Linked DNA regions of Macaca fascicularis. Each later gene encodes a partner of the first gene's protein in a complex. Links are inferred from orthologs where the notes say so. Each region holds a gene or a part of one and is shown on either strand. Other genes may lie near its edges.

What was found.
Region 2: LAMTOR4 (region 1) and LAMTOR3 share a complex: the UniProt entries of both Homo sapiens proteins name them as parts of the ragulator complex. The link is inferred for Macaca fascicularis from reciprocal best matches to the Homo sapiens genes LAMTOR4 and LAMTOR3.

The regions. Positions count from the first base shown.
Region 1 is NC_088377.1:48,815,798-48,820,077, forward strand, and holds the start of LAMTOR4 (ragulator complex protein LAMTOR4), read left to right. Parts: upstream 1-1,244; 5' UTR 1,245-1,318; coding exon 1,319-1,321; intron 1,322-1,841; coding exon 1,842-1,922; intron 1,923-4,280. UniProt on the Homo sapiens protein: As part of the Ragulator complex it is involved in amino acid sensing and activation of mTORC1, a signaling complex promoting cell growth in response to growth factors, energy levels, and amino acids.
Region 2 is NC_088379.1:105,526,510-105,530,325, reverse strand, and holds part of LAMTOR3 (ragulator complex protein LAMTOR3), read left to right. Parts: intron 1-1,064; coding exon 1,065-1,123; intron 1,124-2,734; coding exon 2,735-2,868; intron 2,869-3,816. UniProt on the Homo sapiens protein: As part of the Ragulator complex it is involved in amino acid sensing and activation of mTORC1, a signaling complex promoting cell growth in response to growth factors, energy levels, and amino acids.

The DNA.
Region 1 (4,280 bases):
AGCATGATCATGGCTCACTGCAGCTTCAAACTCCTGGGCTCAAGCAATTCTCCCACCTCAGCCTCCCCGGTAGCTGGGACTACATGTGCGGTATCATGCCTGGTTAATTTTTAAATTTTTAGAGATGGGGTCTTGCTATGTTGCCCAGGCTTCTAGAATCACTCTTCATATTACTCACTAACACTGCCTCCACCACATTAATACGGCAACAGGTCTAGAAATTATTTAAAACAAAAATTTCCAATGTTTACATTGTGTGATGTATGTATGTATGTATGTATGTATGTGTGTGTGTGTGTATCATTCCAAGGTACTGTTTCTAATTTTTTCCTGCAGAGAATATTCAGTATTGTATCTGCATTGGCTAGCTGGTGATTCTATTCACCATCACATTGTCCCAGACTGAATCTGAAGACAAAAAACCACTTTGGGAACAAAATCTTTTTTTTTTTTTTTTTTTTTTTTTTTGAGATGTAGTCTCGCTGTCTCCCAGGCTGGAGTGCAGTGGCGTCATCTCGACTCACTGCAAGCTCCACCTCCCAGGTTCGCGCCATTCTCCTGCCTCAGCCTCCCGAATAGCTGGAACTACAGGCGCCCGCCACCACGCCTAGCTAATTTTTTGTATTTTTTAGTAGGGACAGGGTTTCACTGTGTTAGCCAGGATGGTTTCCATCTTCTGACCTCGTGATCCGCCCGCCTCGGCCTCCCAAAGTTCTGGGATTACAGTTGTGAGCCACCGCGCCCGGCCAAGGGAACAAATTCTTGTCTTCAACAAAGAGCGGTCTTGAGTAGGCATAAAAGTAGCATTTGAAGGTTGGGCGCCCAGCCTTGAATAGCTTTTTACATGCATTGCACGTTATTTCCTTTTATTATCACGTTTTTTGGGTCCAGTCTTAAACCTGGGAAGGCATTCGTTTGGGAGGTCACACTGGCGGGCATCCTGGTTCAGGCGGAACCCAGACTCTAGAAAGCGCGCGCGGAGCCACACGGTCAACCCTGTCCCACTCCTGGCCCTCCCACACCGTCCCCTCCGCGGAAGCACTCCCGCCTCCTCTCGCTCAGGCACTGACTGAGAGGCGGAGAGATGGGTGTTAAAGAGGGGATATCACCAATCAACGTGCGCCTCCGGGAAGGAGCGCTTCGCACTGGCTGGTTGGGTCTGACGACGTGGCCACGATCCAATCCTCATGCTAGAGGCGCGGCTAAAGGGTAGGGAAGCAAGCAGAAGGAGGAGCGCGCCGGGTGCGAGCACGTGACCGGGGCCTGAAGCCGGAAGCTACCTATCTGGTAGGGAGCTCCACCAGCACCGAAGACTGCGATGGTGAGTGAGGACGCATGCGCGGGAGGACCCGCCGGGGGTTCCGCGTCTCTGCTCCCCAATCTGTGTGGTTTCCCCCTCGTGGGTCTGCGCTCCACCCTCACCTCCTATCCGCTCGGGGAGGAAGACGGGATGGAGATGGGAGGGATGGCGACGGGAATGCTGGGGAGGGGTCTGTGGGAGGGTGTTCTGGGGCTGCGGGTAGTCTGCAGGTCAGGGGCGGGGAGGTGGAGAGAGGGTCTGGGGGCAGGGGCCAGTGGGGCAGCGAAGTCCCCTCGGAGTAGCATAGGTGGAGCGTGGAAGGCCAGGGGAGCCCGGGGGCCGAGAGTGGGGGCAGATGGAGGCTCGGGAAGATCAGTATTGAGGACCATGTAGGGGGAAGGGAGCCGGGAAAGGACCTGGCTGGGGAATGAGAAAACCTGGGGCCATCGCCAATCAAGAGACTTGGGTTTGTAGGTGAAGGGTATCAGGGGCCATCCATCCCTCTAGCATGCTTCTCACTACTTGCATCTTTACCCACTAGACTTCTGCACTGACCCAGGGGCTGGAGCGAATCCCAGACCAGCTCGGCTACCTGGTACTGAGTGAAGGTGCAGTGCTGGCGGTGCGTTCTGGAAAAGGGAGGGGGTCCCTTAGTGCACACAGCCCGGTAACCCCTTCTAATATTGGCCCTTCTTTTCTCGACTTTTACCTGGTTTGCGGTCTGGCATCTATTAGGTTGGTACAAAAGTATTTGCAGTTTTTGCAATTACTTTCAGTAATCAGTCTGTGGAATCTTAGTCTCCTAACGGTTGCGGTTTATTTATTTATTTATTTATTTACACTTTTTGAAACTGAGTTTCATTCTTGTTGCCCAAGCTGGAGTGCAGTGGTGCGATCTCCGCTCACTGCAACCTCCGCCTCCGGGGTTCAAGCGATTGTCCTGCCTCAGCCTCCAGAGTAGCTGGGATTACAGGCATGTGCCACCACGCTCGGCTAATTTTTTGTATTTTTAGTAGAAACGGGGTTTCACCGTGTTAGCCAGGCTGGTCTCAAACTCCTGACCTCAGGTGATCCACCTGCCTCAGCCTCCCAAAGTGCTGGGATTACAGGCGTGAGCCAACATCCCTGGCCTTTATTTGATATTTCTTAAAGAGTCATTTGTATTTTGTTCCATAGTACTGTATAGTGTTAGGTCTCTAGATGTTTTTGATTTAGCTAGAGACAAAGCTTAAGGTTAAGTGTTGAAAACAATACAGGTGGTAAAAGACTATTGAAGGAATCCAGGATATTAAAAATTCAACATGTTATGACAAGGTAACTAACTTCCCTGGAGGTAGGAATTCAGCCCAGCTTAAAGGAGAGTATTTACAGTGGGGAGGTGGACATATTTGCAGGTGTGTGGCACTGACCTTTCTAAACTGATGGTAAGTCTGTGCTGAAAAGATTTGGGAAGATTTGAGGGAAGAGGAAGATATGGTCAGGGAGGATCTGATTGTGAAGGATCTTCAAGGCCAGGTTAACACACTTGAACTTATTCTTCTTGGAGGTAATACAGCTTGAAAGGTTTTTTAAACAGAAACAAGACCCAGTGAGGTGGTTGAGCAATATTGTTGTTAGTGATGTGAAGATGGGCAGAAGGAGGCATCATTAAGAGATTAGACTGGGCCAGGCATAGGTGGCTCAGGTCTTTAGTAATCCCAGCATTTTGGGAGGCCAAGGCGAGTGGATCACGAGGTCAGGAGAGCTAGACCATCCTGGCCAACACGGTGAAACCCTGTCTCTGTTAAAAATACAAAAACAAAATTGGCCAGGCGTGGTGGTGGGCGCCAGCTACTCGGGAGGCTGAGGCGGGAGAATGGCGTGAACCAGAAAGGCGGAGGTTGCAGTTAGCCAAGATTGCACCACTGCACTCCAGCCTGGGTGACAGAGCAAGACTCCGTCTCAAAAAAAAAAAAAAAAAAAAAGAGATGAGACTGGGCAAGTGGCAGTAAGAAGGAGCAAGGAGAGAAGAGTTTTGTTTTTGTTTTTGTTGTTTTTTGAGACAGAGTCTCGCTCTGTGGCCCAGGCTGGAGTGCAGTGGCATGATCTCAGCTCAGGGCAACCTCCGCCTCCCAGGTTCAAGCGATTCTCCCGCCTAAGCCTCCTGAGTAGCTAGGATTACAGGCGTATGCCACCACACCCGGCTAATTTTTGTATTTTTAGTAGAGATGGGGTTTTGCCATGTTGGCCAGGCTGGTCTCGAACTCCTGACCTTGTGATCTGCCCACCTCAGCCTCCCAAAGTGCTGGGATTACAGGCATGAGCCACCGCGCCCGGCCCTTTTTTTTTTTTTTTTTTTAGGACAGAGTCTTGCTGTCACTCAGGCTGAAGTGCAGTAGTGTGATCACATCTCATTGCAGTCTTGAACTCCTGGGCCCAAGCGATCCTCCCACCTCAGCATCCCAAGTAACTAGAACTATAGGCAAGCACCACCACGCCCAGCCATTAAAAAAAAAAAAATTTATAGGGACAGGGGTCTTGCTATGTTGCCCAGGTTGGTCTCGAAGTCCTGGCCTCCATCAGTCCTCCTGCCTTGGCCTCCCAAAGTGCTGGGATTATAGGTATGAGCTACTGTGCTTGGCTGGGAGAAGATATTTTAAAGGAGGAATCAGTATATCTTGCTAATGACTAGAAATAGGTAATAAAAGAAATACTTCTCTAGCTAGAACTCTAAAGCCTGGAAGAGTGATGATGCCTTAAGAAACATGTTCCTTAAGGCCGCGCGCGGTGGCTCAAGCCTGTAATCCCAGCACTTTGGGAGGCCGAGACGGGCGGATCACGAAGTCAGGGGATCGAGACCATCCTGGCTAACCCGGTGAAACCCCGTCTCTACTAAAAATACAAAAAACTAGCCGGGCGAGGTGGTGGGCGCCTGTAGTCCCAACTACTCGGGAGGCTGAGGCAGGAGAATGGCGTGAACCCGGGAGGCGGAGCTTGCAGT
Region 2 (3,816 bases), on another chromosome or scaffold:
CTAACTTTAGAGCTATAGCTTGACCATTCTGCTTACTACTTCTGTAAGCATGGCTGAAAGCATTGCTGCATGGCCTTCATTCGTTTTGCCCTGTTTCTTCAGCCAGGAACAGTCTTTCCACGTCTTTTCACTTAATACCATAACATCTCAGCTGAGATATTACTGCCTCAGAAAGCCTTCCCTGGTCCACTCTCTGTCTGCATCAACCTCCTGTTTTCTAGGTTCTCATATCACTATGAACTTTTTTTTTTTTTTTTTTTTTTTGAGACAGAGTCTTGCTTTGTTGCCCAGGCTGGAGTGCAGTGGCACGATCTCAGCTCACTGCAAGCTCCGCCTCCCGGGTTCATGCCATTCTCCTGCCTCAGCCTCCTGAGTAGCTGGGACTACAGGTGCCCACCACCACGCCCGGCTAATTTTTTTTTTTTTTTTGTATTTTCAGTAGATGAGGTTTCACCGTGTTAGCCAGGATGGTCTCGATCTCCTGACCTCGTGATCTGCCCGCCTCAGCCTCCCAAAGTGTTGGGATTACAGGCGTGAGCCACCATGCCTGGCCCCTATGAACTTTTTAACAATACTTGCCCCCAATTTTAGTTTTACGTTTGTTCTTGTGAGATTATTGATAACACACTCACTTTTTAGATCGGAAGCCACGTGAAGGCAATGATTGTGCTTATTTCTGTTTTTCATAGTATCAAAGTATTAAGTGCCACAAACACCGGCCATTTAATATTTGCATGAATGAAAAAAGAAGAAGGCTCTTTTTTGTCACTGCAGCCATTGCTGATAATCTTTCATGCTTTTGTAAACCATGGACTGATCATTCATTAGCAGTTTTAATGGAGAGTTAGCTTTGTCTTAGATTCTTATTAATAAACCGCATGAATTTATAAATATTATAAACATTTCTATAATAGACATTGATTCCATTTCTGGGAGAATTTTGGGGTCCTGTGGTTTTTCAGAAAATACATGAGAATTATTATGTCTTTGAGGTGTATAGTTTGAGAAAATGAAATATTTTATATTTTAACTTTTTTTATATTTTAACTATTTTCTTTTTCTAGTGTTGAAGGGCTCCATGCCATTGTTGTATCAGATAGAGATGGAGTACCTGTTATTAAAGGTAAAAGTGAACATTTAAATGCAAATATCTTCTTTGCTTTTGACTAAAAATGCGTGTAATTTACATCTGAGTAGTACAGCAGGCAAACATCTAAAATTCATTTTAGTAAATTTTAGGAGATGGTGGTCTTAGTATTGGCGGAAGTGTTTGCTTTTGTATGCTGAAGGTTGAATTTGAATCTACAGTGTATTATATATCAGGTGTATCATGTTAACATCTAGAGTTTAAGCATGGATTTATCACAGACCCATTTCCCGTTGAAGACATTTACAGTGCAATGTAAACCATTAGTAAATCTAAGTGATGAGAGTGAGCATGTAGGCAGCTAGATAAACACACAGACACCCCTACATTACACACACACACACACACACACACACACTTTATCAAATTGCTAGTTGTTTTAGGATAATACCCATGTATTTGAATCATAAGTAAACATGATGTCACAGAGAGTCAGTATGGATTCAGACAATTTTTTACTATTTTTATTTTATGGTATTATGAGCATGGATGTTCCTAGTTTTTTTGGGACACTGTAATGGCTTTATCAAACATTAAAGATTGGATAATGTTCTGTATATTTCGTGTACAATTTTCCACCTGGAGTTGTCATATATGTCAGATAATTTTAGACTTTAGAAATGAACGGAGGTTTAGAAGTCAAGTGATTTAGTTCTTTCATTTTATAAGTGAAGGTAATAAAGTGCAAAGACACTTGGACTTCATTAGCAGTTTCAGTGGAGAGTTAGCTGTGTCTTAGATTCTTATTAATAAACTGCATGAATTTGTAAAGATTATAAACATTTCTATAATAGACATTGATTCCATTTCTGGGAGAATTTTGACAAACACATTATAAGAACATGGAATATCAACAAAGGAGGTCCTGTGGTTTATAATCTTCAAACATTGCAGTCCAAAGTCGGGCGTGAGTCAGTAACAGAACCCATCATCTCCTGATGTGTGGTCCAGTGTGCTTTCTAACTCACTATAAAATGGTCGTTGAATGGTTGTGGACAGATTACTTGCTTTCTCTTAATTCTGTAATGAGGGATTTGAACAAAATAATCTCAGATTTTCCAGTTCTAATGTTCTTCATGAGGATATCTGTGTTAAAGCCTTGAGCCCTGCACTCATTAATACAACAAACTCCATGCAGACCTTTTAATGAGTGAGAGAAACACGAAACAGGTAACTAGCTGCAGATTGCTAATATCTATGAGAGATATTCCTTGCTGTGGGTTTTATAAGAGCAGAAGTTTTGTAACTTTTTTCATTAGTTTATTCTAACCTAGTCCTCAGATAACCAGTTAAATGTGCTTGATTAATCTATGTTTTAAGTTAGATATCAAGAAAAGGTAAACATTTAATTTTCTTTTTAAAATTTAAAAAAATTGTGAGAGTCAGCATTTCTTCTATTGTGATCAGTGAACTTTTGACTGAGCAATTTTTCCTGATTAGTGATGAGACCCCATTAGTGATATGATTTTCAATATTGTGAAACATAACCTTTGTGCTCAGTTTTAAACAGAGGTTTATGAAAAAGGGCTGTAAATCTCTCTATCATATCCTCTGCATAATTTTTATTTAAATCACTTATTTTTCTAGTGGCCAATGACAATGCTCCGGAGCATGCTTTGCGACCTGGTTTCTTATCCACTTTTGCCCTGGCAACAGACCAAGGGAGCAAACTTGGACTTTCAAAAAATAAAAGTATCATCTGTTACTATAACACCTACCAGGTAAGTTCATAATTATCAAATGATTTGCTGATTTCAGTTGTCATTTTTGTACCTTTTATATATAAAATAGTTTGTGTTATAGTTCTCAATTTCAGTTTTGAAGGGGATGAAATTGTAAAATTTTAGCCTTCAAATTGGTTGTGTTAAACGGTAGTAATTTTCTTCACATTTTATACCAGGAAATAATTACGATGGAAAAGTAATTAAGTGACTTAATAAAGTACATGTTATCCTAAAAAGTGTACGTCAGGTCACTGTTATCTCCAGTAGATGGTGCCCTTAGCTAAACAACTGTGATTTCTCAGATGACACACTTTTTTTGTTGTAGTAACAGATAAAAAAAACTTTCCTTGAAAGTTTATTAAATTTGCTCTTGCTACTAATTCCTTCATTTTTTGGAAACATATATATGTAATAAATGAGGTTATTATTTGTGGGAAAGAAGTTAGTTTTTACATGTCTCTTGATCTCAAGCTATATTTTCTTAAGACTGAATTAATTCCTTGTGCTTTAGAGCTATGTTTCCTAATCAATTGATGTTAAGTTACTCTTTTTTTTTTTTTTTTTCTTCCGAGACAGAGTCTGCCTGTGTCGCCCCATGCTGGAGTGCAGTGACATGATCTCATCTCACTGCAACTTCCGCCTCTCAGGTTCAAGAGATTCTCAAGCCTCAGCCTCCCAAGTAGCTGGGATTATAGGCATGTGCTACCAGGCCTGGCCAATTTTTGTATTTTTAGTAGAGATGGGCTATCACCATGTTGGCCAGGCTGGTCTTGAACTCCTGGCCTCAAGTGATCCCATCCACTTCAGCCTCCCAAAGTGCTAGGATTACAGACGTGAGCCACCATGCCAGGCCCATCTTTTATTTTAAAAGTTACATATTTTAATGTGTATTAGGTAAAACATAACCAAACCATCTGACCTTTAATTTCAAATAAGGATTAGGTT